4 linked regions of the Ovis aries genome follow. Each later gene encodes a partner of the first gene's protein in a complex. Links are inferred from orthologs where the notes say so. Each region holds a gene or a part of one and is shown in the gene's direction. Other genes may lie near its edges. The genes, in order: STRN, STK26, STK25 and STK24.

Evidence for each region.
Region 2: STRN (region 1) and STK26 share a complex: the UniProt entries of both Homo sapiens proteins name them as parts of the core of STRIPAK complex. The link is inferred for Ovis aries from reciprocal best matches to the Homo sapiens genes STRN and STK26.
Region 3: STRN (region 1) and STK25 share a complex: the UniProt entries of both Homo sapiens proteins name them as parts of the core of STRIPAK complex. The link is inferred for Ovis aries from reciprocal best matches to the Homo sapiens genes STRN and STK25.
Region 4: STRN (region 1) and STK24 share a complex: the UniProt entries of both Homo sapiens proteins name them as parts of the core of STRIPAK complex. The link is inferred for Ovis aries from reciprocal best matches to the Homo sapiens genes STRN and STK24.

Annotation. Positions count from the first base shown.
Region 1 is NC_056056.1:87,161,645-87,167,031, forward strand, and holds part of STRN (striatin), read left to right. Parts: intron 1-3,785; coding exon 3,786-3,961; intron 3,962-5,387. UniProt on the Homo sapiens protein: Calmodulin-binding scaffolding protein which is the center of the striatin-interacting phosphatase and kinase (STRIPAK) complexes.
Region 2 is NC_056080.1:102,852,004-102,858,181, reverse strand, and holds the start of STK26 (serine/threonine-protein kinase 26), read left to right. Parts: upstream 1-2,633; 5' UTR 2,634-2,768; intron 2,769-2,870; 5' UTR 2,871-2,979; coding exon 2,980-3,021; intron 3,022-6,178. UniProt on the Homo sapiens protein: Serine/threonine-protein kinase that acts as a mediator of cell growth. Modulates apoptosis. In association with STK24 negatively regulates Golgi reorientation in polarized cell migration upon RHO activation.
Region 3 is NC_056054.1:368,985-374,371, forward strand, and holds part of STK25 (serine/threonine-protein kinase 25), read left to right. Parts: intron 1-2,538; coding exon 2,539-2,769; intron 2,770-3,272; coding exon 3,273-3,329; intron 3,330-3,913; coding exon 3,914-4,022; intron 4,023-4,489; coding exon 4,490-4,647; intron 4,648-4,757; coding exon 4,758-4,943; intron 4,944-5,307; coding exon 5,308-5,387. UniProt on the Homo sapiens protein: Oxidant stress-activated serine/threonine kinase that may play a role in the response to environmental stress.
Region 4 is NC_056063.1:74,890,319-74,896,366, reverse strand, and holds the start of STK24 (serine/threonine-protein kinase 24), read left to right. Parts: upstream 1-2,634; 5' UTR 2,635-2,996; coding exon 2,997-3,038; intron 3,039-6,048. UniProt on the Homo sapiens protein: Serine/threonine-protein kinase that acts on both serine and threonine residues and promotes apoptosis in response to stress stimuli and caspase activation.

The DNA of each region.
Region 1 (5,387 bases):
CTACTGAATAACCAAAAACAGAAAAACATTCTTATCAAATTTTATATACAAGGATCTTTAGAACACTTTATTTAAAAAACTCCCACCCAGAGTATGTCATTCTTGTTATATATTTTATTTCTGTATACATTAATCTTCTACTAACTTCTGTTTTGTACACTCAGTAGTCAGGATTATCTGTTTTACATTAACTGTCTTGTCTTTTTCCATGCTGCCCTGCATATCTGACTGCCCATCTGGGGATTCATTTTTCTTTTACTCTAAGAATACAATATATCTGTTTAATGAAGATCTATTGGTGCCTAGCTTTCTTAGTTTCTGATTTTCTTGAATTGTCTTTACTTGTCTTTTTTTTTTTCGCCTGAGTAGGCTATTATCTCTGATTTCAAATTTCACTTTGCAAAAAATTTTTAGTGCTTTTTGTTTCCTTTATTTATTTTTAATTGAAGGATATTTTTAAAAATTGCATTGGTTTCTGTCATACTTTTTTTTAGTGTTTTAAATATATTTCATTTTTTTGTTGTTTTCTCTTAAAATCAGCGGTCATTTCTGTTTTTGGTTACAGTAGTAACCAAAGGTTTTTGGTTACAGTAGTAGTTCTGTTACTAATTATGTGTTATTTCTGTTTGTTTTCATTTATGCTGTTGTATCTCATATGGGTATGGTTATTTTGTACTATGTCCAAATAGCTATATTTGAAAACTTGTCTCTAGAAATAATTTCTGGCCTAAGTTTATATCTTTCCACGAAGAGTATATTTTCATTTTCTTCTCTCAGATGTCTGCAACCACTAGAAATCTGGATCACCTGCTTCATTTTTAGTTTTTGAGATGATCTAAAGCTGATCTACAATCTTTTAAGGGCTTTTGTTCTTTTAGTTCACTCTTATGTGTGGGATACAGCTTTCTGAAATCAAAACCTAAAGCCAGATAGTCTGCTAAGCCCTACTTTCTTGGCAGGCCCTGGACATCAATCTATAGCTCTCTGTATTGCAAAGTCATCAGAAACACAGCTCAACCTCTCAGCCATCTCTTCTGCAATCAGTAAACACTCACGGGGGAAAACAGTTCCAGATACCAGGCTCACTTCCGTAGGCCTCTTGTCTTCACCTGGATCCTAGGTTTTTTCCCACGATTTTGTTAGTTATAGATTTTTTTATTCTTAGGTTTGCTATTCTACTTGTCCTCAGTACACAGTTGGTCCTAATGATCTGGTCCATCATGACCAGAAGCAGAAATTCCCATTAGATGCTTTTGTTCCTGCAAAGAGTTTGTCTAATACATAAAGGAATTCAATCCTCTCTCTGGAGAAAGCTCATCCTTTTTTCATAACTTAATTGTTAGAAAACTTAGTGTTAGTCTGTCTCAGTTTCTAAAAGTAGTTCCTAGTTTTATTAAGCATATTAGCAATCTATTGCTGCATAACAACTTGTACCACATTTAACAGCTTAGAAGAACAAACGTTGATATCTCACAGCTTCCATGGGTCAGCAGTCTGGGGACAGCTTAATTATGTGACTGGCTGTTTGTATGGTTGTAATCAAGACATTGACAAGGGCTGCAGTCTTACCTAGACTTGACTTGGGGAAAATTGCTTCCAGGCTCACTCATGTAGTTGTTTGAAGGCCTTGGTTTCTTGCTGACTGTTGTCTGGGAACCAGTTCCTCACCGCATGGACCTCTCTGTGGGCTCCTCAACAGAGCAGCTGGCTTTTCCCAATGTGAGTGCACCTAAAAAGATAGGGAGCAGAAACACTCGAGATGAAAGGTTTTATAACCTAATTTTGGAAGTAGTTTATTCCAACTTCTGCTGTATGCTGTTGATCACAGAGCATGCCTATAATGTGGAAGCGTGAAAGTGTTAGTTGCTCAGTTGTATCCAACCCTTTATGACCCCATGGACTATAGCCTGCCAGGCTTCTCTGTCCATGGGATGCTCTGGGCAAGTATACTGGAGTGGGTAGCCGTTTCCTTCTCCAGGGAATGAACCTGCGTCTCCCACATTCCAGGGAGGTTCTTTACCATCGGAGCCATCAGGGAGGGGGACTACCCAAAGGTAAAAATAGGTGGGGCTGACTGGGAACTTAGTGGCTGCCTACCACATCAAGATAATCAAAGGAATTTAAGTACTCTTCCACATGAAAACCTTTTAGCTCTTTTATAAGAATAAAAGAGGTCAGCTCGGTTGCCCTTGTCGTCCTAACCTTCCTGCCAGCCCTGCCTGCCCTCAAAATAATCGGCCCCATTCTTAGAGTAGTTCCTTGCATAATGTGTTTTGTTTTCACTCATTGCTTCCCAGGTGGCGCTAATGGTAAAGAACCTGCCTGCCGGTGCAGGAGACAAAAGAGACCTGGGTTTGATCCCTGAGTCCGGAAGATCCCCTGGAGGAGGGCATGGCAACCCACTCAAGTATTCTTGCCTGGAGAGCCCCATGGACAGAGAACCTAGTGGGCTATGGTTCATTGGGTCGCAAATAGTCAGACACAACTGGAACAACTTAGCACGCATGAATTGCCCCAGTTGTGACATGTCCTGTCCAGATTTCTCTGCAGATTTTTAAATGTCTGGGTTCTAAATTACAGTTTAATAGTATAGCCTCTGAAACCAGATTGCTTGATTTTGAATCCTGACTCCTCCATTTACTAGATGGCAAGTCACTTAACTTCTCTTTCCCTAAAATGGCTAGTCTGTAAAGTGAGGATACTGTTAATTCCAACATCATAGAGTTGTGAGGATTAAGTGAGTTAATGCTTTTTAAGTCTTTTGAATAATGTAGAAAATAATGAATGCTGTATAGAATATCAGTTGTTGTATCATTGATAATTTTTGTAACTGTGAGTATGGTAACATTTCTCTAATATATTACAAATACTTGCTTAAATCTACCATGATTGTTAGCCTTGGAGTGTGAAGTTCATCCATGGTGCTTGTGTAAAGTCAAACACTATCCTCTTTAGCTTTTCTATTAGTTGGAATGAAAAAACAGTGCATTATTTTTTCAGTTATTGAGATTGAGATTCTGTGGAGAAAGTGAAAGTCACTCAGTTGAGTCCGACTGTTTGTGACCCCATGGACTGTAATCTACCAGGCTCCTCTGTCCATGGGGATTTTCCAGGCAAGAATACTGGAGTAAGTTGCTGTTCCCTTCTCCAGGGAATCTTCCCAACCCAGGGATCGAACCCAGATCTCCCGTGTTGCAGGCAGATTCTGTACCATCTGAGCTACCAGGGAAGCCCTCTGTGGAGAAAAGGAACATAGTAAATATATAATTATGTTCGTAATATCTGATTGTCTTTTCCAATTTTAACATTTTGTTGTCAGTATATAAACTTCATTACCAATTTGAAGAAAATTTAGCTCTTGTCTGAAACCACTGAAAACTTTGAAAGTATCATCATATTCTGTAATGTTAACATGCTTAAAGATAATTTAGTTTTTCAACTCTTAACCAGAATTGCTTTATATTCTATAATTCAGGTTTAAATCACTTGTCTTTTTAAAAAGCATCCTAGTGAAATTTTGTTTTTTGTTACTAAGTTATTTGATCCTCCTTCTATACTGAATTATGTATTTTCTTATTATAGCATTCATATTTCTTCAAAGAAAACCATTGTTGACATATTGCTAATTTTGCCTATTGATTTGGTTATCTGCTTAAAAATTACATTATTTTGAAAGTTGCAAAATAATGGTAGTTTAATGATGAAACAGTAAGAATTAATGCTGAAATACAGTTTTTTCCCTCATTCTGAACTAAGTATATTGGTATCTTTTTTTTCTTTAATAGATAGCAAATAATAAAGATGCATTGAGGAAGACATGGAACCCCAAGTTTACATTAAGAAGTCACTTTGATGGTATTAGAGCTCTCGCTTTCCACCCCACTGAGCCTGTTTTGATAACAGCATCAGAGGATCACACGTTAAAAATGTGGAATTTGCAGAAAACAGCCCCAGCCAAAAAGTGAGAATATTCTACTTTAACTGTATTTGAATAATTTAATTAATATTTTTCAGCAGAGAAAGCCTTACTTTATTATTTGCTGTTAAATTCCTCAAATATCTCTTCTAATTTTTTTCCTTACCATGTTATGTAATTTAGGATGTTTTTGCCTTCATACTCATAAGCTAATTTAGGTTGAAAAACTGACCCTTAGGGAGAAATGGTTTGTGAATGCTGATTATAATCTTTATTTGGTGTTTTAAATAACTTAAATTTTGAGAACCCTTTGTCTGCGCTGGAGGTTTCTGTTGTTGTAAGCAGGCATAGTCATGTTTAAAACCGTCAAACCCCAACCCCAATCCTTCCCCATTGTTTACTAGGTTTGGCCTTATGCTGGAGCCGGTGGGGGCAAGAGACCTCTCTTTGATCCTTTCTTTTGATCTTGACCAAAATGTCTAGACTGAAGGGGTACTGTTGCTGCTCTCACTTATCTGCTAAACTTCCCTTGGCCCCTTGGTTCCTCTGTAAGCACGGACAGACATGAGTTGGTATAAACCCCTTTTATCAGTCACCAAGCTAGTCCTGATCCCACTTGGTACTTTCTCTTTCTTCCTTGGATTACGTGGTCCAGAACCCAGCATCTACCAGCAAGGGCCCTTCTACAGTGATAGATACCTCTTTTTATTAAAGAGTAGAAATGAACGTCAAATGGAGGAGAGGACAGAAGTTTTACTACTGACAGAGAATATCTCCTGCCCAATTTGAAAACAATCAGTGACATTCCAGCTGTCACACCTAGACGTTCATCAGACAGCTCAACTGGATATTGCTAAAACCAAGTGAATCTTCATGTAGATCAGGTGTCTTTAACAGAGAAAGGTATTTCCTGGTTACAAACTGTGCCTTTTGTTCTTCAAGTTCTTTAGTTCACAGTGGGCATCATATTAGATGAGAGAATGTTGAGTATCTCATCATATATTCTTGACTGTAACTTTGAAATATATTGAAATTTCTTGCTGGTGGTAGCTTAGTAATAACACCTTCACAAGCAAGTAACAATAGTCTTTGTTTACCTTTGAACTTAAAACTTTGGAAATGAGGAGAGCTATCATATGCCTATTAAAAAAAAATCTGTAATACAATCCAGTTTCTGTTCTCAGTATGGCCAGCATAAGCCATGTAGAGTACTCATACACTCAGTGTTCTGAGTAGTGAATAATCTGTTCTGATGTTCAAATCTAATGTGGACAGTTTCTGCAGGTATTCAGGACAGACATGTTAATCTTTATGGAAATGCGAGGAAATTAAAGTACCTTTGATTGAAATTCTGTTCTGTATGGTTCTGTCCTACGCTGTTTTACCGTGAAGAATCTCATTTAATCTTGTAAATATTTGCTGTTATCCCTATTTTTATATTTTATATTAAACATAGAGGAATCTAAAGTTT
Region 2 (6,178 bases), on another chromosome or scaffold:
TAATAGCACAAAAGCTAGAGAAAGGTAGAAAGTTCAGCAAGATCTCAAACGCAGTGTTTCTAAGGAAATGCCTCGATAGTTCAGGTCTCAAAATGTAGCATTCAGTCTTCCACATGCTTATATAACTCTAGCACAAAATCATGTCAGGAAAAGTCACTTCGTACATATGTTTACATTATTTATTAAAGTTATACAACTTGCCCTTTTAAGTAGTTGTGAAATTAAAGTAACAGAAAAGAATTTAGAAGACAAAAAAATGAGAGTTGAACCAGGCTATCAATAAAACACTATACCAACTAGCACTATACCAAACTCAGCGAAGAATTGAAAGGAAATCCATCCGTTCATTCATTCAATGAATATCTACTGAGGGTTTCCTGTGTGCCATACATTGTTCTAGGCTCTGAGGATACTGCAATGAACATAACCAACATAAATCTTGCCCTCAAAAAGCTGACATTCTATCCAAATAATTCTTATGTGAGAAGCAAATGAAATGCATGATATAAGAGAAAAGAACTACAATGTGAGTGCTGCTCCCACCAACATGCAATAGGAAGAGTCTGAAAGAAGGCCTGTAGCAACACAGAAGAATCAGTGGGGTTGGGACATGAGATGGGCCTTAAATGATGGAGCTTGATTCAGACCCTTGCTACTGAAGGTGTGGTCTAAGAATCAGCACTATCGTACCACCCAGGGACCGGTTAGCAATGCAGAATCTTGGACCCACTCCAAGCTTGCTAAATCAAAATCTGCACTTTAAAAAGAATCCCAGGGAACCACTATGGAGTTTACATGACACTGTAGGTTTCTGGTCAGGCTGGCATTAAGTGTGAACTGGGATGGTGGGAAATCCAGACTGGATTGAGGCCTATCGTCAGGTTGGAAGTACGGAGGGCCTGGAATTGAGGATATCCTTTATCATCTGAATGGATATAGAAAGTGTGCTGTATATACATGCAAAGGAATATTATTAGGCTATAAAAGGAAATCCTGCCATTTGTGACAATGTGGATGGACTTTGAGGGCGTTATGCTAAGTGCAATGTCAGACAGAGACAGACAAATACTATATGATCTCACTTACACAGGGAATCTAAAAAAATACCAAACTTACAGACACAGAGGGTAGATTGGTGGTTGCCAGGGGAGGGTGATGCAGGAAACAGGTAAAGGTGGTCAAAGGGCTCAAATCTCCAGTTAGAAGATTGTTACATTCTGGGGATGTGATGTATGGCACTGTGACTTATAGTTAACAATACTGTTCTGTATACTTGACAGTTGTTAAGAGAGCAGATCTTAAAAGTCAGAAGGACCTGAGTTTGAATTCCCAGCCCTCCCACTTCTTAATTATGTGATATTTGGGTCAAATTATTCAAGCTCACTGAGCCTTTTTTTGCATTTCAGTAAAATGGAAGAAAGGTAATATGACCTCAGAGGGCCCTTGTGAAGATTCAGTAAGGCAAGACACACACACACACACACACACACACGCACACACACACATAGCACTTAGCGGTCCCTGACAGAAAATGGAACTCATTAACGATAGCTAAATATATTGATAACAATGACATGCTATCTTTTGAGACAGATTCAAAAGGAACAAGAGAAACATTTCTCGTCTGCCAGAGCCCCAACACCATGGTGGGTACAGCCCTACAATAACCTGCAAGTCAGGGAACTCCATCCTCATTTTAAACTGGCACTTGTGGTTTCCCAAAGGTGCCTTCCTAATGAGATGACTGCAATTGCTATTATTATTATTTTTAATCTCGTTACTGTTAGGTTACTCTCCGAAGAGTCTACCTCCCTGCTGGAGTGGAACTTCAAATGGGGTGGAGGCAGGGACTTGCCGAAACCACTGCTCTGTATGCTGAATTCAATAATACGTCCTGCGAATGACCCAATCTCATTTCCCAGGCCTCTATTTCCTCATTCATTTTTCTGCCTAGGTGCCATCTGTTTTCCAACTTCCGTCTCTCTTACACGTGCTTGTGATGCGGAGAAGCCCCAGTCTGATCGCCCTCCCCCACAACCGCCCAACTGGTAGCCCAAGAGGTAGGGGTAACCCCAGTTCTAAGGCACCTGAAGCCTGACGGGGGGCGGGGAATCCGGAAAGAGGAGAGCGGCCACGGACCCCGCCCAGCGGCGCGGCCCCAGCTGGGGACACGCGGGGGAGAGCAGGGGTCCGCTGACTCGGACTCGGCGGCTCTCTGCGCCCCCGCCCTCGACCACGTCGAGGACTCGAGAAGGAATTCCGACGCCCGCCAAGTTTCAACTCAACACTTCTCCGAGGCTGCGCCGCCCGTGCCCTCGCAAGCCTGCCTGCAACGTGGCCGCGCCCGGGACGCCCTCGGACCCCGCGGGTCACCCGAACTCTTCCCTTCTCTCTCCAGGCCGAGCCGTGCTCCACGCCCTCCAGTCCCCGAGCTCTCCTCTCCGTGGGCCAGGAGAGCCTCCCTCTTGTCGGGCTCCAGGAGCCCCAGCCGAGCCCCTTCCCAGCGCAGTCCTAGCTCTCCTGACACCGCCCGGCGGCGGGGCGGGGGCAGGGCCAGCGGCGGAACCGCCCCCAACCGCCTCCCGGGCCCGGCGAGCGGGCGGGTGGCTGGGGCGCCTCCACCTCCTCTTCCTAAAGCGGCGAGGCGCAGACGAGCGGCATCACTGGAGCCCAGGTCCCGGCCACTGCCACACACGGCGTCGGGCGCTCAGGAGCAACAGCAGCGGCAGCGGAGGCGGCGGCCAGAGCGGCGGGCGGGCGCCAGAAAGGTAGACTGAGTCCCGGGGAGCCTCGCGGCGGACCGCCCACCTCCCGGCCCCGGGCCGCGCGCGCCCCCCGCCCTGTCACCCAACTCGTGTGTGTCCTTCCAGGCCCGGGTCGAAAAGCCTGAGAGGGCCGCCGACCTACCCCCGGAGGAGGAGCCAGTCGCAGCCCGAGGCGCCGCCGCCGCCGAAGCCGCGCGGAGCCGCTTTCGCCTTCATGGCCCACTCACCGGTGGCGGTCCAAGTGCCCGGGATGCAGGTGAGGACGCCCGGGCCGCCCCCGCCGTCCACGTGACTGCCCGGGAGCTCGGGGCGCGCTCCGCGCTGGGCGCCGGCGACGAGAGGCGGCCCGGGGCTTCCCCGACCGAAGCCGGGCCGGGCGCTCCGGCCAGGTGACCCGGACGGAGAGCTCTCGGTGTTTCCCGGCGTGTAAGCTAGGCGGTGCAGTGTGCCGGCCGGGCGCGGAGGGACTGGGGCGCGCGGCTCTTTGGGGATGCCGGGGGCTGCGGGGGGGGTGTTAAAACAGGCAGGGGCGGGACACCTGCGCCGGCTGAGCTGGTGCGCTTGTGGGGGTGGGAATGGAAGCACTTCACTTGGAAGAGATGGAGGTGTCTCGGAATTCGTTGGGTAAAACGCAAGTGGTGCTTACACACACACACAAGTTGGGGCGGAGCAAGGCAAGGGGGTGTCGGTGGTGGCGGCTTTGAATTGGGCTCTTCCTGTGTGCGTAGAGCAAAGAGCGAGGTGACTTTTTTCCCCTTTTGGGGCTGCTGCTTTGGGGCCAAGTTGTGTCTCGCTCCCCCCACCGGGCGCAGCCCGTAGTGGGGTGTGAGAAACGCAGGGTCCTAAGTTAGAGCAGCGGTGGTGATGACTCTCCCGCCCCCGCCCCCGCCCCCGCCCCCGCCCCCGCCCCCGCCCCCAGCCTTTCCCACCGGAGGGCTGTGGCAGTGTGGTTGTTGCAAAGCTTTTTGTCCTGGACGACAAGATATTACGGCCTGGGACCTAACTTTTTATCTTTTACATCTTACCAGCCCTCCCCCCTTACATTTTCATTTTATTAAAGAAGAAACAAGCTATGTCCACAAACTTTCTGCATTGTTAGGTTTTTGAATCGGTGCATTTCAAGCTATCTACTAAATGTTATCCAAGTTGAGTAGCTTTTAAGCATTCACGTTTTATTTTTTTTCCTTTGCTAGACAGCCTAAACACCCCCACTTATGAATAGGTAAAAGACTAGAAGCACTTAAGCCTCATTATCTTCTAAAAATGTGAAAGCAAACGTTTTCTAAGTTCAGAAAAAAATGTTTGGTAAATAGCTATGTTGCTAGTAGAAATCAAAGCGCCATGGATTGGGGCCTTAATTTACTAAATAATGCATGGAATTCATCTTAAAAAAAATAACAGTTGGTCATATTTGATGCATGATCACACGAAAAAAGTGATTTTTAAAGTGCTTTCCCCCCAAAGGACTGTTTGTATCGGACATATATCTAACTTAGGACTCCTGTGTGTCCTAGGCACCAGGCCTTTCAGCTAAATATAGGATAAGTCTGGGTTGAGTCCCAGGAAATCGATGTAGTTCATTAAAAAAAAAAAAAAAAAAGAAAAGGAAGCAAAAGGGAAATGCGAGACATTAGGGCCTTTTAAAAGGTTAATCCATTCAAGCTTTACAAAATGCCTCAAACTTCCTTCTTCTCACGCCACCCTCTCCTTCCCTCCCTCCTTCCCCCCAGCCACTGCCCCTCACCCCATTCATTCAGTTCTGCCTTTGATTATGTCGAGAGAATTAGTAGTTTGCCTTATCAACTACAGTTTTGCTCTGTCTGATGTGGAAGAAAGTGGGGAAACTTTCCCACCGTGCTCTCCTTTCCTTTGGGGAGTAGAAGAGTCCGCATGTGAAGTTTGTCTCTGAGTGTCTCAGTACTCCTCGCTCCATTGTGTGCACGCGCTGCCTGCGTGCGTGCGTCAGCAGAGTGAGCACCTCCCGATCAAGTTTGATTCTGGGGAACCCTGCGTGCTGAGGAGAAAATGGTTTCTGGTCTTTATTTCATTTGTCTTGACTTTATTTGATTTATATGGTTTCTGGTCCTTATTTGATTTGGCTTTATTTGATTTACATGGTTTAGGAACTCCTTACTGTTCAGTATTTCTTATGGCTCCTTGCTTTGTTTCATTATCTGATTTCCCTATCTTTTGAATTTTTTAATTTTTAAAAATCTTCATTAAGGTGGGTTAGAATGTGAGTCTCATATTTTAAATGATAAATTCTGCCTTTCATTTTATTCCTACCCAAAGTTGTGATGGCTTTGGGAAGGGCAATCATCTCAACATTTGCCAAGAAGAGAGGAATACTTGTCACTGTCTCTGTCTGAATGAAATGGTAAATTCTTACCTTCTTATTTCCATGCTCTCTGTAGATGTGGTTCTTAAGCATTTGGGGCAACAAACAGGTTTTCCACAGTTAAAATTGTGGGGTATCCTAAAAACAAATTTGATGATTAGCAGCGTGACTCTCATGCCTAGACTACTGTGACTATTCTTTTGTTTAAAAGTAGTGAAAATGAGATGCAGGAATATATCACGAGCTTGTAAAAATTTTTTCTGCAAGAGTTAGGAGCAACTTTTAGATCTTCACAGTAGTGAGAAAACTTGAGTTAGCCATGTGTTCCTGAAATTAATGTATAGTATTTCCACAAATCAGGGTGAAGTGGTCGACCGGCCAGTAACTTTTTAACAGTTTATTTTAGGGAATTATGAAGATTGATGGAAAAATGATTTTTCCAGAAATAAAAACAAAATTACTTTACCCGCAGTGTTTTTCTCCCCCTGAGGAGAGACGTGAAGTCGAGCTACCTGTTCTATCACTTAAGACTTCCAGCATTCCTGACATTCAAACAAAGAAATTTCTGTTGCCTCTAGTTTAAAATAGAAAAGAAACTTGGAGTGACGAAAGAAAACCCAGGATTTGGTCCAGTTAAAACCCTTCCTTATGAATTAGTTATTCAGACTCGTATTGTTAATATTTCTTAATATTGTGGTAATGAAATGTTTGCCATATTACACCAAATGTAAAGGATATGAATTTTTTGATGCTTAATTTGTGCTTATTTCTGTAGTATATCGCTAAAGGAATTTTCCATACCAGGAGCTGAACTCTTGAAAAATATTTAAAGCACAACTTAAACAAAATAAACCAACAAACCTGTTTCTTTCCACTCAAATATTTACTCTTTAATGATTTAAAACATGTTGTTTCTTTGAAGTTCACAGTTGTAAATCATACTTAAGTTTAAGATATTTCCCCTTAGAAACTGCATGAGTATTTATGAAGACAAGTGTTCTAAATTGGGTGTTAAATCTTTCATAAAGTGTGGGTGAGAGAATGAAATTAAATGTTGAATTAGAGTACTAACTGT
Region 3 (5,387 bases), on another chromosome or scaffold:
GCCTGGGCTCTTCGGAGAACCCCAGGGCGCCGCGCTGATGCTGCAGGTGGGCCGCTGCAGGCCCGTGCTCCCTCGGACACGTGCGTCTTCCGAGTCCCTGGACTAAGATGCTGGCAGAGAAGTCTGGCTCCAAGTCAAGGGCTGTAGGAACGGCCCCCCGTGTGCGGACGTGGCGCTGTGAGCGGCCCCTCACCTGGGTGCTGGTGGTGCTCGCAGCGGGGCTTGGGTGGCTGCGTCTTGCCCGGGGACGGAGCGGGGCTCAGGGGAGCTGAGGAAGGGACCCCAGAGGAAGGAAGCCCCTTTTGTCCTTTCAGGGGTGGAGACGCTTGGTCTTTGTCGGTGACAGGAAGCCTGACAGGACGTTGTTTTCCTTGAGGTGGTTGTCATCGTGGTCCTGTGAGGCGGTCCCTGTGTGCGTGGGGTGGTGGCCTGCTCCCCGCGGGGGAACCTTGGGCATTGGGCCCCCGCCGGGCTGTGACTCCTGCCCAGGCCTGTGCAGCTGTAGAAGCGCCCTGTGCAAGTGACTGCCACCTGTCGTGGGGTGCATGGGGGCCGCTGGCCAGCCCTCACTTGGGGGGTGATGCCAGCGGCGGGCGTGGTGCTAAGTGGATGTGCAGGCGGCTGAGCGGTGACCGCAGACCGGGCCGCCCCAGGGCAGGTTCAGGGCCCGGTGGTCTGGGCCAAGCGAGCAGGCCGAGCGGCTGTCCAGACCCGGCTCTCACAAGGGCCCCCGCAGCCCGGCCCCGGCCCTGTCTCCCTTCTCCCCCGCGCGGCTGTGAGCAGGCTGTCCCAGGGTGCGCTGCTGGGGCCTCTGTCCACTCAGGCGCCCGGCCTGCAGCCCTGGGGGCCTGAGGCGGCTGCGAGCCGGGCCCGGCCTCTGGTTAGGGCCTGCCCGGGGCCCCCTTCGAGGCTGTGGATAGCTGAGGAGCCAGACCCAACTCTGGCCTGGGCCGGGGGCGGGGGTGCCGCTGGCAGAGGCCCGACGGTGGGAAGGGGAGGCCGAGGGAGCGCTGGGGCACGCCGGTGCCCGTTAGTGCTGCCAGGCCAGCCTGCCCCACGTCTGCACTGAGGCCACCTCGGCGGGAGAGGAGCCTGTCTCCGGAGCACGGGCTGGACCGGAGGTGTGCCCTGGGCTGAGACGGCGTGGGGTCGGGTGGGGCCGAGGGGGAGCAGGAGGCGGCTTCCTGGGCTCCCTGGCTTGGGTCCCTCCTGAGGCTGCCGCCTGCGCCCTCTCCCGCTCACCTGGCGTTCTGAGGTTGGGTGAGCTCTTCCCTGCTGGTGACAGCCCGGGGGAGGCAGCTCTTGGCTGTTTCGGGTTGACATGTCTTCTCGGTCTGGAGCCAGTGGGCCCTGAACTGTGCCCTGCTCGGGGGGAGCCCTGTGCCCCCAGACTCTGCTCAGAGCCTGTGAGTGGCCGCCCTGGCCCAGCCCCCTCAGCGCCAGGGAGCTCGCACGGATGGGTGGGTATGGTGCCGCCTCGGGGGGGTGCCCGGGTGCCCTCGGGGCAGCGGTGCAGTCTGGAGGGAGCTGTGTCTGGTGGACTTGTGGCCCAGCGCGCTTGGGGGACCCTCTCTGCCCCTGTGTGGACCAGATGCCAGGCTCCCTGCTAGCTGACCAGCGCCACTGGGGTCCTGGGTCTCCAGCGCCTGCTGTGGGGGTGCACGGTGACCTCGGCCCCCAGGGGGCCACGCAGGTGGGGGTGAGGGATGCCCCGCTGTCCTCCACGCACAGCCCCACGCTGAGCTGTCTCAGGCCTGGACACTGAGGGTCAAGGTCGAAAGCCAGATTGCTCTGTGGACACCCCTGTGCTGCCGTGTCCTGGCACTGAGCCTGTCTGAGGCTCTGCGCCTTGTCGGGTGGGTCTGTGCTCCAGTCTGAGCCCCAGGTGAGAAGGGTGGTTCTCTGTCCATTTGCACGTCCAGGGGAGTGTGGGTCTCCAGCTCCATGCTGGGGTGAGGGCATCACTCTCCTGAGGACTCTCCTTAAGGGGTGTGGCTTCCAGGTGTGCAGGGAGAACTCAATACCTGTTTTGTTTTTTTCCTTTGATGAATAGGCTTCACTTTTTAGAGCAGTTTTTGGTTTAGAAAGCTGAGAGAGCGAGCTCTTTGCACCCCGCAAGGCTTCCCTGGAGTTGGTTATGACTGATGGCCCAGCGTGGTCAGGCTGTTGCCCACGGAGCCAGCGGCCTGTGAGGCCGGCCCCCTGTGCTCACAGCGTTGCCCAGCACCGTTGTCCAGCTGCCCCCAGCTCCCCGTGCTCCACCTCCTTGTCCCTCCTGATCCATGACTTGCCTCCCTGGGTCCTCCCCACGTCTGGGCTGTGGGCACACAGGGGTGAGCTGCATGGCCCATCTGCCTTCCCTGTGACCCTGGTTTCTTGGCGAGAGCCTCAGCCTCTCAGTCCTCTCTGGGGACGTTTGCCCCTGAGTGGAGGTAACTTTAGGTTTTCTGAATGAAAAGGGATGTAAGAAGCGAGAAGAGGCCCGGGGGGGCTCCCTGGCCATCCGCCCCTGACCCAGCCGCTCGCCCCCGTCCCCAGCACTCGCGAGTGGACCCCGAGGAGCTTTTCACCAAGCTCGACCGCATCGGCAAGGGCTCTTTCGGGGAGGTGTACAAGGGCATCGACAACCGCACCAAGGAGGTGGTGGCCATCAAGATCATTGACCTGGAGGAGGCGGAGGACGAGATCGAGGACATCCAGCAGGAGATCACCGTGCTCAGCCAGTGCGACAGCCCCCACATCACGCGCTACTTCGGCTCTTACCTGAAGGTGCCCCCCGAGACGGCGCCCTGCCCGCACGGGGCCGCTGCTGGGACCCCTGTGGCCAGAGTGGGGACGGGGCTAGCGGGCCCTGTCTGCTCAGGAGGCCTGGCTGGGTCTCTCCCCCCGGGCCCGGTCTGTAGGGCGGGGGTCCCCACGGGAGGCACTGTGGACTGGGCCTCCAGGGGACGACCACGCCCAGGGCCAGGGGCCTGGCTGTGTCCTGAGGGCAGCCTGGGGGTGGCAGGGTGTGAGCAGGGAGCGGCTGGCTCTGGAATGGCCCGTCTGTGCCCCTCCTGGGGCGGGGGGGCCCCCTGGAGCCGGAGCCCTTCCCAGGGGCTTTGGACACGGGCTCGGCCCATCTGCAGTGTCTGCGCAGGGGTGTGGTGAGGGGAGCCGGACGGGCGGCCACCGCTGTTCCCGGTGGGCATCTTGGCTGAGTCAGTACAGCTGGGCGCATGTTGGGCCCTGTGCTGCCTGCTGCCACCTGCTGACACACTTCTCCGCCCCAGAGCACGAAGCTGTGGATCATCATGGAGTACCTGGGTGGCGGCTCCGCCTTGGACCTGGTGAGCTGGGGGGCCCCGGGGGCTGGGCAACCCGGTGGGCAGGGCCAGACTGAAGAAGTTGTCTGGGGGTTGTCCTTGAACCCTGGGTTCCTGTGGCCTCCCCTGCTTCCCTGTCGTGGTGGCTGACTGTTCCTCAGGACCCAGCTGGTGCTGAGGGTTCCAAGTCCTCTGCTGGCCTGTGGGGAGGAGGTTAGACCCCCAGCAGGAGGCTCAGGAGTGTGGCCACGTCCCCGGTGTCAGCTGTTACCTCCCACACAGCTGTCTGAAACTTTAATTTCAAAAGTGGGTGAAGAGGCTTCCCTGGTGGTCCGGGGGCTAAGACGCCACGCTTGTAATGGTCTGGGTTCAATTCCTGGTTGGGGAACTAGGTCCCACGTGTTGCAACTAAGAGTTCACGTGGTGTAACTGAGACCTGTGCAGTCAAAACACAGTGGGTACAGAGAGAGGAGGCGCCCACGCGCAGGGGGTCCCCGCCCTTGGCGCTGAGGCGGGCGTGCTCAGGGTCAGTGCTGGGCCTGGGGTGGTGGGGAGGGGTTGGGCAGGCTCTGTGGGGAGGCCTGAGGCCCAGCTGGCCCCGCCTGCAGCTGAAGCCGGGCCCCCTGGAGGAGACCTGCATCGCCACCATCCTGCGGGAGGTCCTGAAGGGCCTGGAGTACCTGCACTCGGAGCGCAAGATCCATCGCGACATCAAAGGTGCCTTGGGGCGCATGGGGGCGCGGGTGCGGGACCCCGGAGACCTGGCGGTCCCGCTGTTCCCAGTGACAGACAGGGCCGGCTCAGCCCTGTGTCCCTGCACATGGCATAGTGGGCTCCGCACGTAGGCTGGGGGCCCCGACTTAGCCTGTGAACGGGAGGGCTGAGAGCAGCCTTGCGGGTGGACGTGTGGCCAGGCCAGCCTGCAGGGGCGTGACTGGCAAAGCAAGGGAAGTCAGGCCGCCCGCCGCCTGCTGAGCGATCTGGCCGGGAGGGCAGTTCCTGTGCGCAGGGTCTTCAGTGGTGACCGTCATGGGCACTGGGGCCGGCTGAGGGCGCGTGTGCGCCGGCGGCAGTGTGCCATGGCCTTGGGGCTGAGGGCGCACCTCCCTGGGAGACTGGCCGCAGGCTGGGGGGGTGCTTCCTCGGGTGGCACGAAGGGTGACGCCCACGGTCCTGTGTCGCAGCTGCCAACGTGCTGCTCTCAGAGCAGGGCGATGTGAAGCTGGCAGACTTCGGGGTGGCGGGGCAGCTCACGGACACGCAGATCAAGAGGAACACGTTCGTGGGCACCCCCTTCTGGATGGCGCCCGAGGTCATCAAGCAGTCGGCCTACGACTTCAAGGTGGGCTGGGGCGGGGCGGCGGGCGCGGGGGCGGCAGGGCGCGGGCGGGGGCCGGGGGCAGCAGGGCGCGGGCGGCCTGCGCTGCAGCGGCCCTGTGGCTCTCTGTTCAGGCCGACATCTGGTCGCTGGGCATCACAGCCATTGAGCTGGCCAAGGGCGAGCCTCCCAACTCCGACCTGCACCCCATGCGCGTCCTGTTCCTGATCCCCAAGAACAGCCCGCCCACGCTCGAGGGCCACCACAGCAAGCCCTTCAAGGAGTTTGTGGAGGCCTGCCTCAACAAGGACCCCCGATTTGTAAGCGCCTCCTGCCCCCAGCTCGTGAGTGGTGAGGGGGCCTGCATGGCTGAGTGTAGTTGGGGCCCCTGGCACTGGGCTCCAGAGGACAGTTGAGGGGGGTGTGTGCACGCGCATGTGCGTGTATGGAGTGGCGTGCTGGCTGTCTGTAGTGGGAGCTCAGAGGTGACAGGGCCAGAGGCCCCTCCGCTGTGCCAGGGCGGGCTCCTCTGTGCCCCCAGCCCAGGCCAGGAGGGTCTGGAGGGAGGCCCTTCCCCTGGGGAAGACAGTGTGGAGCCACCCAGCCCCCCTAGGCGCCCCTGCCACCTGGGGTCACCTAGGCTCAGCTGCCCGGCGCCTGGTGACCCCTGTGCGTCCCCGGCAGCGGCCCACCGCCAAGGAGCTCCTGAAGCACAAGTTCATCACGCGCTATACTAAGAAGACCTCTTTCCTCACGGAGCTCAT
Region 4 (6,048 bases), on another chromosome or scaffold:
CCGTGGCATGTAAGATCTTCCCAGATCAGGGATCGAACCCATGTCTCCAGCACTGGCAGGTGGATTCTTTACTACTGAGCCCCCAGGGAAGCCCCAGCGCGCAGGACATTTAGTTGCAGCATGCAAACTCTCAGTTGCGGCATGTGGGATCTAGTTTCCTGACCAGGGATCGAACCCAAGTCCTCTGCATTGGGAGTTTGGAGTCCTAGCCACTAGACTACCAGGGAAGTCCCCTGAATACTTCTTATGCCTAGATTACTATGCACCCCTGCTGCCCCCGGATCATTTGTTGGAAACTAGCCCACTGCAAAGTGGGCCCAAGGGTTCTTTGAATTTCTTATGCTACTGCCTCAGATCAGTGCCTGGATATTCCTGTTCACTCATCCTATTTCTTCCTCATCTAGCTGCCATGTTATTGGCCTGGTGGCTGACCCTAGTTCAGTTCAGTCGCTCAGTTGTGTCTGACTCTTTGCGACGCCGTGAATCACAGCACACCAGGCTTCCCTGTCCATCACCAACTCCCAGAGTTCACTCAAAGTCATGTCCATCGAGTCAGTGATGCCATCCAGCCATCTCATCCCCTACTCCTCCTGCCCCCATCCCTCCCAGCATCAGGGTCTTTTCCAATGAGTCAACTCTTTGCATGAGGTGGCCAAAGTACTGGAGTTTCAGGAGAGACCTATTAGCACGATGGTCTCTATTGGTTGAATACTAACTAAAAAAAAAAAAAATCATCTTTAATTCCAGGGCTAGCCACTGCTAAATCCTGGGGCATATACTTCCAGGTTTTTCTCTATTTATACATTTACACACAAAATTATATACATCCACACACACACACACACACACACACATATATATGAAGGGTTATATATTTAAATATAACTTCATATATATGAAGTAACTTGAGATCAGACTGCTTTCTACCCTGCATTTCCTTAACAATATATCTTGAAAATATTTTCCCGTGTTAGTAAATATTGAAGTACATCACTTTAAATGACTGTATGACTATATTATCATTTAAGTAAGTCTCAGACTTTTAATCGGTTCCCAATTTTACCACCATCATAAATATCACCACATTGCATTTTTTATATCCATTCTTCTGCACTTCTCCGTTGTTTCCTTAGGAAAATGCCTGGGTTAAAGATGAACATTTTTTAATATTCACACGCTTGTCTGATCTGCCGTCTGTCTCTTTATGTACGCTTTTTGTGTGTGTGTACACAAAATTTACACAAGCCGGTGAGCGCCCTAAGCATCAGGGTTCATGCTTTTTTTTTAAAGTTTGTATTTGCTCTATTCTCTTCACAGTATTTGGGGGTGGCAGGGTTTCAGGGCTCAGTGACGGTCGCACACCAGGGACCACCGTGAGGTATCTGAAAGTATCCTGGAAGATGCTGAGGATACAAAACATGCATAATTTCCCAAAGGAAAGCGGGGAGTAGGTTTTTAAGTCATTGCTTATCTGATCCAGAGCACCGCAGGGAACTCTGAATCCAGTTGACACCTCTAAGAAACACCCCTCATTCGGTGGAGGGCTTTTCAACTTCTTCCAGCGGTCTGCGAACTCTATGGGCTAATTTTTGGAGGTCCAGCCTCACCCAGCCTTGGTGCAACGTCATTCACGGGCACGAATGTAGACGTCGGGGTCCTAGCAACCCCAGCTGCAGCCGGTCCCTTCAGGGGACTGCCGCTGTTGGTCGTTGTAAACAAACTACTACTTTCTGGAGGCAGCAGTGACTCACTCCTTCTTGCTTCTTTCCTCTGGAGTCGGAGGAGAGGTGACCAGAAGGTGGAGGCAGCCGAAAGAGCGGGAGAGAGGCAGGGGAAAGTCTAGACATCGTTTCCTTCCATTGTCTTCCCTTCCTCCTCGGCCCTCCCTGCCCGCTTCTCCCTTCTGGTGGGTGGACGTCCCCCGCCCCCACGCCTTGGTCCGGGGCCCAGAGACGATGGGGTTCAGCCCCCTCACTGTTTGTTGGCTAAGTTCACAGCTCCTAGTATTCCAAGTGCTTTCAAGCAGCCAAAGCACGGGAAACGAACCGCTTTCGGCCTCTCCCCTCCCGGAGGGCTTCCTCCTTGGGTTGGTTTGGAAACTTCACCCGGACACCGAAGAAGCTCCGCCCCGGTAGTTTTGAACCGGCCGCTGGCCGAGGCCCCCGCCGGGTCCCCAGGCTCTGCCCTCGGGGAAGTGGCCTGGGGCCCGTCGCCAGGCCGAGAGGGGTGGGCTTCTTTGGAAGGCAAGCCCAGATCCCCCGGGGCGTCCGACCGGCCCGGGCCTGCAGGGCGGGGTGGGCGCATGGCCCATCCCTGACTCCGAAGACCCGCGCCCTCCCATCTCACCACCGGGGGGGACCCCTGCCCCCCGCTAACTGAGGCCCCTAGCCCCGCACCCGCCCGCGCGTCCCCCTCCACCTGGTCTAGCCCGCGGGAGCCGCGCGGACCTCTACCCGGCCCGGCCCGGCGGCGGCGCGGACCGCTGCGGCCTAGGGCGCCGGGCGGCCGCGAGCCTCCTCCCCCTCCCGGAAGCGCGGGGCGGGGTCCCCGGCCCGGCCGCGGGGGCGGGCGCGGGGGCCGGGCCGGGGCGGGGCGCGCTCGGCGCTCGCGGGCTCGGCCGGCGGTGCGCGCCCCACTCCAGCTCCAGGCGCCAGCGCGCGGGCCCAGGCCGCCCGGTTCCAGTCCAGCAGCAGCGGCGGCGGCGGCGGCGGCGGCAGCAGCAGCAGCAGGGCGGCCGCTCGTAGGGAGGCCCCGCGCTCCTCGCAGCCCGTCCCCGGCGCGGTGCATGGAGACGAGGCCCGCCACCCGCCCCTGAGCCCGCCGCCCGGCCCAGGACCCACGGGGGGCTAGGGTGGCCTCGGGCTCCGGCCGGCCGGCCCCCCATCTCCCGCCCCCGGCCGCCCGAGGAGGGCTGCGCGCGGCCCGCGGGCCTCGTCGCCCGCGCGGATCGCCGCGGCCCGGCCGTCCCGTCCCAGGAAGTGGCCGTCCTGACCGCCATGGCTCACTCCCCGGTGCAGTCGGGCCTGCCCGGCATGCAGGTACAGGCAGGAACCGGGCCGCCGAGGGGCGGGAGGGATGCGCGGGCCGGGGCGGAAGCGGGGAACTTGGCGGTGTAAACACGGCCGCTCCCCCAACCCCCAGTTCCCCCGAACGCTGCCCCTTCCGGGGTCGCGCCGGCCTCCCGCGCCGCGCTCGCCGCCTCCGGGGCGTCCTGCCCGGCCCCGCGGCCCGGGTCTCGCGGGTGGGGTGGGGGTCGTGAAGGGACCTGGGGGGCCGCGGCCCGGAGGCGGCCCTCGCGGGCCGGGAGTCCCGGTGGTCCGGGGAGGGGAGAATGTGCGCTGCTGGCCCAGTCGCCCTCCTCGCGTCCCCCTCCCGAGCAGCAGGCCCCGCGCCGGCCCATCCCCTGGGAAGAAGTGATGTGGAGAAATGCCCTTGGAGGCCCGGCTCGTTCTCGGGGCCCGGGTGCGGGCTAGGGGTGGGCAGCGGTGGAGGCCCTTGTCCCTCCCCACCCCCCCTACCCCGGAGAGGGGGCCCCCGGGCGCGCCCCGGCTCGTCCCGGCCCGGCGGGTGGAGGAGACAGGGCGGGGAGAGGAAGGGGTAAGCGCCAGCTCCGCTTTCAGCGCGTTGCTCCGCGCGCTTCCTCCCGGTGCAGACGGACGGGAAGGTGCGAAGCCTGGAAGTCCGTTCTGGAAGGGAGGAATCGATCGGACAGCTTGCACTCGGACAGCGTGGGTCCCGGGACTCTGGGCTGGACTTGGAAACTCGATTGGATCCGACCACGGAGAGTCCCTTCCCACTAACCCTCTCCGTGGCTTCTTTGTGGCCTGTTGGCCTCCCAGCGGCTTAATAATTTTTTTCTGGAGTGGGGGCGAGGATGCATCAAAGAAAGTTTTTCGCCTTCGGGGATTATGTTTAGGCGTTTGAAAAATAAAAACCACCTTCCTCGGCTAGTTTGTGATGTGTATAAACGGGTAAATGGTGGCAAATGTTTGGGATTAAAAATCTCAACGGAACGGTTACGGTATCTCTCAAAAGTTTTGTTCCCCCCAGGTTAGCCGGGCGAGGGAACGTACGAACTTTAAGAAAACAATCACAAGTATCCGAGTGGATTATTTGTATTTTAGTGTTCAACGTACTGTTTCGTTTTTGTTTTTTTTTTTCCTCCCCTTCCTCTTGAGGGCTGAGAAGTATTTGGACCACATGGGAGCCAGGAATCTGCCCCCTCATTCGAGAGAGATCTTTTCTCTCTCTAAATCCGAAGTAGAAAACTCGACTTCATTGTTCAGGTTTGATATCTAGAAAAAAGTTACCGGGATTTTAGCTTTTTTTTAAAGTGGAGTGACAATTAACATTAATAACTTTACTGTACTTAAAAAGAAAACTGTCCTTGAACCTCCTGTAAAGAGCTTTTAAACAACACGCATTAAAAAACCTAAGCTACTGCTGACCGCTAGGTAGAAATCAGATGTGGTTTCTTGGTATTTCCTAAAATTCCTGCTTTGGTTTGGTTTGAATTTAGAGACAGGAAAGCAGGGTGAACTGGGTAAAAATGTATTTCTGACCAGTAGAGCAAGAAGGACCTCTTGTAATGATTTGGAAAAAAAAAAACCCCCCACCAAGAACCATATTTGGTCAGTACTTTCTTGAGATATACTCTTATGCTGTTAATTAGGTTGTATGTAGTCTGGTACACATGCCTTGCTCAGTACTACTGTGGAGGTGTAGTCAGCCTTTGTGGAAAGGGAATCTATTTAAAAAGGTACTTAAAGCTTCTCTGGCTGATGCCCTCCAGTCAGTATCAGATGGTCACCAGGTCAGGTGGTTATCTAGTCTCAACACTTTTTTTTTTGTCCTCACCTTTCAATTTTTTGCTTCAGGAGTGTGGGCCAGAATTCTTAAGTCTTGGATAAGGAAGATTCATTTCTTCAAAAAAGAAAAGCTTGCCTCCCCAAACATATTTCCTCCGTAAAGTTACAAGGGAGCTGTTTTTATTTTGCTTTCTCAGTATAAAGGCTGGTAAGTTTTTATTTGGTTGAAACAACTAGACTTTCAGCTCTTGCAGTTTTAGGGGCGCGAGGTGGCTTTGGACAGAGTCATCCCTGTGTTTGAAGTGCCTCCATACAATCTATGATGTTTGTTTCTGATGTGCCATTTGGGAAGGAATATTCTTTCCTTCTCCCTTCCACTCCAAAAGAAAAACAACACACACATTTTATTTTCTGCTTTGAATCAGCAGCTGCTGCTGCCCAGGGAGGCCTTCCTCAGAGTTGTTATTGAGGATTAACGTAAAGGCACACCTGCCTCAGACGGCTCTCCAGGATAAAACGGGAGGAAAGTGCTAACCCACCTGTGCCCTTGCCCTGTTAATCCCATCTCCCTCCCTTTTTTCCTCTCTCATCTCCTGACCAGGATTTATGTGGAGATGGCTTAAAAATTTCAAGAAAGATAGCAGAGTGGATTCAGGCAGCCCCTAGGCAAAGATCCTTAAAAAAAAAAACAAACCTGATTTAAAAGAATAATTGCAGTTAAAACTTCCTTCTTCATTGTCTTGCAAATCATTTTTATGCCTCTAGATTCTTACTGGTACCACCTGAGGTGCAGGTGTAATTTATGTTATTGTCTAGATGTGGAAACCAGCAGAAACTAATTGAACTGACCCAAGGTGAGAAGGTGCATTATGTGGCAATCTGTGACTAGAGACCAGGTCTTTCCTACTTTTGAACTCATACTCCTACTGGCCTTGCTGAATTAGTCTTATTACTTTAGCAGAAAGTAACATTTGTTTCATCCCAACTTGGGTTTGCAGAAGAAATTAAAATATGAGACTGATATTTTGTTTGTTTGATCAGCAACTGTTACTGAACGCTGTTGTGCCAAGTACTCCATGAGGGGTCGATGGCTGTAAGTCTGAATGAGTTATCCTTTTTAATAACTGTTTCATAAGAGGAGTTGGGGGGGGGGGGACACTTTTCCTTTTTTTTTTTTTTAACCTCCCACATCCCAGTTTCATTAGCATTGGGGAAAAATGGAAATCACTAGCTTAATGTA